Arabidopsis thaliana: one gene and its partner. The protein of the gene in region 1 interacts with the protein of each later gene in a biochemical or structural test. Each region holds a gene or a part of one and is shown in the gene's direction. Other genes may lie near its edges.

Evidence for each region. Proteins that work in one complex are often made in the same cells at the same time.
Region 2: of the proteins of PIN1 (region 1) and D6PK, one has a biochemical effect on the other in vitro, tested with the Arabidopsis thaliana proteins (one study listed by BioGRID).

What each region holds. Positions count from the first base shown.
Region 1 is NC_003070.9:27,657,858-27,661,614, forward strand, and holds the start of PIN1 (Auxin efflux carrier family protein), read left to right. Parts: upstream 1-1,815; 5' UTR 1,816-1,914; coding exon 1,915-3,160; intron 3,161-3,312; coding exon 3,313-3,547; intron 3,548-3,735; coding exon 3,736-3,757. UniProt on the Arabidopsis thaliana protein: Acts as a component of the auxin efflux carrier; this activity is enhanced when activated by D6PK-mediated phosphorylation.
Region 2 is NC_003076.8:22,640,815-22,644,571, reverse strand, and holds the start of D6PK (D6 protein kinase), read left to right. Parts: upstream 1-2,157; 5' UTR 2,158-2,463; exon of another isoform or gene 2,464-2,709; intron 2,710-2,826; 5' UTR 2,827-2,937; coding exon 2,938-3,572; intron 3,573-3,655; coding exon 3,656-3,757.

The sequences.
Region 1 (3,757 bases):
GCTAAAAGGTCATCCATCACCCATAACCATAAGTCAAGCCGTGCAAACATAGAGTATTAGAAAAAACGTTAATTTGAGTTCAATATTACACAAAGTCGCAGTTGTAACAAGGATTTGCACAACAAAAGATTGAAAGATTAATGGATTAGTGACAAATAATTTGAAAGATCCAAAATATCATTAACTATATGGAATGTGAAAAAATCCTGCAATTTTTTTTTTTTTTTTGCCGTGTTAAAAATTCAATTCTTTCAAAGAACCAATTTTAAAATTATTTGTCAGTAAAAAAAAATAGAAACTACTTGATTTATAATTTTTAATAGAAAAATGATGTTAAGTCATCAACTCTTTTATTTTTTCGTAACTTCTCAACATATTTACTTTATTCGGATTGCATAACCTACTTTTTTTGTGTGTATAGTCTCTTTAAGCGCAAGAAATGGCAAGGAAAGTCGAATTATATTAGTACTATATATTATTATTATGCTTAAAAAAAAGTTGAAAACATTGGAAAAATAAAAAGCTGGAAAGAAAAAAAAAAGAAGAACTGTGTTTGTATGGGATGATGAGAAAAATGAAGAGCAGACTGTTGATGGAATATTGTGTTTCCTCAAATATCAACACTCCTCATTATATCATCAACCCATTGCTTTTTGTACGGACTTTATTAGTAGTATTAAAGAACACATCAGACTGATTTGTGTAAGCAAACCAGAACCACCCTCTTTTCAACATTTTTCTTTCAAAAAACTTCTACGTATTTATGTTCAATAAAACTTTGTTACTAATTTTCTCAACGAAATATATTTTATAAAACTTTGTTAGTAATGTTATACAGTAAACAGTAAAAGAAAATAAGTTCCAAGATGAGCGATCAAAGGATTGAATAGTTCATAAATAATTCGTATGCGCAACTACAACTGTAAATGATAACCTATGCAATGATAACTCACACACACCCATCTCACATGAAAAAGTGATTTCGACCTTATGTTAGTGATATCACATCTTTTCTTTTATCTCCACCCACAAAGTCTTTGGTTAGGAACTAGTTTGTTCAATTGCAACCATTTTTCCAAAGACTTTCAACCTCTCTTCGGAGAAGACTTCTATCTTTAAAACCAAAATTTTCTAAGTTCATATAAACATCAAATCGAGCCTTATATCATCACTTCAATGTGTATTTATCTTCTGTTGTGATTTATCAATTGAAAGTCAATACCAAAAATCCCATCATACTAATCACAATAATTTATAGCAAAAATAAATTTAACAATTTTTAAACATGGTAAAAATATAAATTTAATAATTAGTATAGGGGATAAATTGATCAACCGAATAGATTAATTCATAATTTGAAAAGGCCAAAAAAAAAAGAGAGAGGCAAAAACAGAGGCTCTGCTTTGGACTCCGCAAAGCGCACAAGGCCGCCTCTTTCACTATCCCCAAAGCTCCACCACGCACCCATCAACCACCATTTTTATTTCGTTTTTATTACATTCAAAAAAACTTCTTTTTGTCGTATTTCAATCAAAATTACATCACACACACTATTATGTTGGAATGTTTAACAAAACAAATAAATATGTTGAGCTATTCCAATTTTACATTTAATGTTTTTTTACTCCTACACGTAAACTACTTTTGAATATAATATCTAGAAACTAACCAAATAATCGAAAACGAAAATAATAAAATCAGCAAACAGTTTTAGCTTCATTAACAAAATATATATATGTTTAATTAAAAAATATGGTATTTTCTCAACGGACAAAAAAATAAAATAAAAAGAATATAAAAATGTGGTCTCTTCTCAACACTCACTTTACTCTTTTTTCCCTCTTCACCACTTCTCTCTCAAACTAAAGACAAAAGCTCTTCTCTCTTCCCTCTCTCTTCTCCGGCGAACAAAAGATGATTACGGCGGCGGACTTCTACCACGTTATGACGGCTATGGTTCCGTTATACGTAGCTATGATCCTCGCTTACGGCTCTGTCAAATGGTGGAAAATCTTCACACCAGACCAATGCTCCGGCATAAACCGTTTCGTCGCTCTCTTCGCCGTTCCTCTCCTCTCTTTCCACTTCATCGCCGCTAACAACCCTTACGCCATGAACCTCCGTTTCCTCGCCGCAGATTCTCTCCAGAAAGTCATTGTCCTCTCTCTCCTCTTCCTCTGGTGCAAACTCAGCCGCAACGGTTCTTTAGATTGGACCATAACTCTCTTCTCTCTCTCGACACTCCCCAACACTCTAGTCATGGGGATACCTCTTCTCAAAGGCATGTATGGTAATTTCTCCGGCGACCTCATGGTTCAAATCGTTGTTCTTCAGTGTATCATTTGGTACACACTCATGCTCTTTCTCTTTGAGTACCGTGGAGCTAAGCTTTTGATCTCCGAGCAGTTTCCAGACACAGCAGGATCTATTGTTTCGATTCATGTTGATTCCGACATTATGTCTTTAGATGGAAGACAACCTTTGGAAACTGAAGCTGAGATTAAAGAAGATGGGAAGCTTCATGTTACTGTTCGTCGTTCTAATGCTTCAAGGTCTGATATTTACTCGAGAAGGTCTCAAGGCTTATCTGCGACACCTAGACCTTCGAATCTAACCAACGCTGAGATATATTCGCTTCAGAGTTCAAGAAACCCAACGCCACGTGGCTCTAGTTTTAATCATACTGATTTTTACTCGATGATGGCTTCTGGTGGTGGTCGGAACTCTAACTTTGGTCCTGGAGAAGCTGTGTTTGGTTCTAAAGGTCCTACTCCGAGACCTTCCAACTACGAAGAAGACGGTGGTCCTGCTAAACCGACGGCTGCTGGAACTGCTGCTGGAGCTGGGAGGTTTCATTATCAATCTGGAGGAAGTGGTGGCGGTGGAGGAGCGCATTATCCGGCGCCGAACCCAGGGATGTTTTCGCCCAACACTGGCGGTGGTGGAGGCACGGCGGCGAAAGGAAACGCTCCGGTGGTTGGTGGGAAAAGACAAGACGGAAACGGAAGAGATCTTCACATGTTTGTGTGGAGCTCAAGTGCTTCGCCGGTCTCAGATGTGTTCGGCGGTGGAGGAGGAAACCACCACGCCGATTACTCCACCGCTACGAACGATCATCAAAAGGACGTTAAGATCTCTGTACCTCAGGGGAATAGTAACGGTATAGTCCCTCTATAACTTTGTTGTTTTGTTTTCGCACCCTAATTTATTTTCTTTACAAAAACACCCCCAAAATTTCTCTATGTCCTTCGATATTTATGATTTGGTTAAGGGGTTCTTTAATTGTTTACATGTGTTGTTGCCTTACTTTAGACAACCAGTACGTGGAGAGGGAAGAGTTTAGTTTCGGTAACAAAGACGATGATAGCAAAGTATTGGCAACGGACGGTGGGAACAACATAAGCAACAAAACGACGCAGGCTAAGGTGATGCCACCAACAAGTGTGATGACAAGACTCATTCTCATTATGGTTTGGAGGAAACTTATTCGTAATCCCAACTCTTACTCCAGTTTATTCGGCATCACCTGGTCCCTCATTTCCTTCAAGTACTGTTTCAAACTTGTCTTATTTTCACTTTACTTTGGTTTTGGTCTACTATTTTAACCACTTTCTTGATGCATAAAGGGTCAGCCTTGAATGCGTATATGTTTGAAAGTTTTTTCTGATAGATTGAAGTAACAAAAGATTTGAGAAAGATCTCTTTATTGGAATTAAATTGATGTGGTCTGTGCAGGTGGAACATTGAAATGCCAGCT
Region 2 (3,757 bases), on another chromosome or scaffold:
AAACAGAAATTAACTGAAAACAAGTGTACAGTATATGACATATTATTGGAAATAAAGAACAAAATTACTGTAATTTTTTTTATAATATGCCCATCATAATTGAATTATTTTGGCTGACTTTAGTGAAACAAAAACAAAACTGGAAAGAACATTAAAATATTAAAAAATATTAGGTAAACGAATTTGCGTGTAGAAGTTGTTTTGATTGATAATAAATAGAAATCTCTATCATTATATTTATAAGTTACAACAAAGAGATCTAAACCAAACTCTAAACTAGTTTTTTTGGAGCTTACCAAAAAAAAAAAACTAGTTTTTTTGGACATAAAAGAACTAGGTATTTTTGCTATTTAAAGCATTCACAACTACCACCAATAATGATTAATCTCATTGTAGGAACACTCGAATCTTTAATTTTCACGATAAATCTTTTAACCATTGAATCTCTATGAATTTGTTAAGAAAATAATATAATTAAGACTTTGAGAGGACTCGATCTAAATCTAAGAGTAAACCTAGAAACTTGTATAAAAATGGATATTCTTACCATTTAAATGTTAAAGCATCCTTAGTGACAGTGTCCAGCTATGATTTAAATTGTAATGAAGAAACTTAGAAACCTTAATCCCTCAAGTATCATGGTAAACAAAACATTTTAATAAACTAAACCTTTTATTTTGTTATTATTGCAGTATTTTTAACCTAAAGAAATGGGATTATAATGAAGAAAGATTCCCCACTCGCGTTTCACGTCACAAGCCGATCGTGTAGCAATTGTCGTTATTGGATCTGAGCTTCTCGATTAAAAATTGACGCAGTAATTGGATCTAATAAGAGCATGAGGTTAAAATATGAATTATTTGAGATATGAGGAAATGAACAAATTATACCCACTTGTGTTCTTTTATGTTGAACAATCTTCTGGTTTGTCAACTACCTGTTGAACCATTTCTAAAAAAACATTGTTTCTGTTCGATTTAAATGTGGGGGAAAAAAAATAAAATACATGAAATATAATCTTAGAATCTAAGGAAACTTATTATTGGGCAATAAATAAGAATTTGCTGAAAAGTTTTAGGGGCATCTTTTGGAACTCTCAAGTTTCAAACAATGGTGAGTCTAATTTTAAATAATTGTTTGGTGTGTTTAGTAAAAAAATAAAATAAAATTAATACACATGACCAATTTACGTATTTGTTATTAGGGAAATTTTTTAAAGGTTTATACAATTTTGGAATGTTTAGTTATTTTTAAAAACTTAAAAGATTTTTTTTTATTGATTTTGGTAAATGACAAAAACTTTCACTAAAAATTTGAAAACAGAATGTTTGACGGATGCTAACAAGCTTTTAGAAAGTATTATTTCGACCATAAAATTGGATGAACACTGGATGTAAATGGAATTGATAACAAAAGAAATCGAGATATAAAATATCTATTGTTATGTCTTCATTCAGCTTATAAGATTTATCATCTATTGGCAATCCGAAAAGATGCAAAACTCTTTGTGATATGGTATGCGCTAATGTTCATTTAATGCCTCAAGTTTCACCCATTAGAACACAAGAAGAAACTTCCGAAGATGCTGCATGATGACGAAAACATACGCTTAGGACGATGTTTTCCAAACCGCATAAATAAAACAGAAAATTATAGTTTGGTGGCACGCATATGGGATTGTCCTTCTAACAAAAATGTGCATTCACAATAGTTCTTACTTAGAATTGCTAAACTGAAAAACTCGTGTGAAAACTTAAGCTAAATATGTAAAATCCATAAATTTATGCATAGAGGTAAACATCAATTTTTTTTATCATCAAGTAAAAGGCACATGACAGATTCATGAGAATAGATGAAAGATAAGAATGTTGAATTTTAATAATTTAAATTGATGTGTTTAATAATTTAAAGAATCAAAAAGGAATTTTTTTGGTAAATATATATAAAAATTTCTATAGACAATTATTTAGAAAATCAAAATATAAAGTAAACATGTAGGAAATATACAATAACATGTATCAATAAAAATTTGGTTGCCCTAAAAAGCCTAAAATTATTAACAGCTCGCGAGAGCATTCTTGATGTAAACATATGTCTTCCATTTTGGAGAAAACAAAAAAAAATACATTGAAATAATTGAAATTCCCTCAAAATAAAAAAAATAAAAAAAAGTATTCAACTTTTTATTTGACCCTCTCTCTCCTCTTCCCTCTTTTCATGGTAGACCCAATTCTCTCTCTCTCTTAACAACACTCTCTCCTCTCTCTCCCTCTCTCTATCTATCCCCATTTCCATGGAAGCAAGCAGATGTGTTCTTACATCTCTTTCTCTCTCTACAGCCTTACATGAACAGTGACTGTTCTCTCTCTTTCCCTCTCCTTCCTTTTTTCTTCTACTTCTCCTTCCCTTTGCTTCGAAAAGGGTATCTCGTGATCTTTATCGCTCAAAAATCTTCACTTTCAGGTAACGATTTATTGGGTCTCTCTCTCTCTCTCTCTCTCTCTCTAAAGCTCTGTTCTTTTTATTTCTTCTTTTTCTGGGTTTTATTCTCTGATTCTTGCTAGATCCAAAAGTTCTTTATTTTGCCTCTTCTTCTTCTTTACTTTAACGAGATCTGTTTTTACCCTTAAAGACTCAAAATAAAAATCCAAACTTTTTGCATGAAGAGCTTTAATTGATTTGTCACTTAGATTTGATATTTCAATTTGGGTAAAATTTTGTGCATCTACTTAAACTTTCATCTGTAGTAAGATCCGTGATTGTTGTTTCTGAGTCTTCTCAATCCAGCTTTAAACTGATGCTATTGTTTTGTTTTGATGACTATAGATCAGGCCACTCGTTGATGGAATCTGTGACAGTATTGATTACTAGAGAGTAAAGACAAGTTCTTTAAATCTCAGGGAAGAAGGAATTGGTGTTTAAGATTGCTCTGTGTTAATGATGGCTTCAAAAACTCCAGAAGGATCACTTACCAATTCCAGTCAAAGTATGTCAATCAACACTTTAGCAGATCAAGTATCTTCGAGTTTGTCTTTCGCTGATCCAAGTAGTGATGGCAAAACCGGTAATAGTAAGATCAACGAGCAAGGTGAGAGTGGAAAGAGTAGCACTTGTAGACCAAGTACAAGCAGTGATATAAGCGATGAGAGCACTTGTAGCAGCTTTAGTAGCAGTATCAACAAACCTCACAAGGCTAATGATGTGAGATGGGAAGCTATTCAAGCTGTTAGAACTAAACATGGTGGTTTGGGTTTGAATCATTTTAGGCTCTTGAAGAGGTTAGGATGTGGAGATATTGGAACTGTTCATCTTGCTGAGTTGAATGGAACTAGGTGTTATTTTGCGATGAAGGTTATGGATAAAACTGCTTTGGCTAGCCGGAAAAAGCTTCTTAGGGCTCAAACTGAAAGAGAGATATTGCAGTGTCTTGATCACCCGTTTCTTCCGACTTTGTATAGTCATTTTGAGACAGAGAAGTTCTCTTGTTTGGTGATGGAGTTTTGTCCTGGTGGTGATTTGCATACACTAAGGCAGAGACAACCCGGGAAACGCTTCACCGAGCAAGCAGCTAAGTAAGAAACTTTTTCTAAACTTTCTTTATCTAAGAATCTAGTTTTGTGCGTTTATATAACCTTAGTGACTTGCTGTTTTGCAGGTTTTATGTCGCGGAAGTGCTTCTTGCAATGGAATATTTACACATGCTTGGGATCATTTACCGTGATCTGAAACCCGAGAACGTTCTTGTGAGAGATGATGG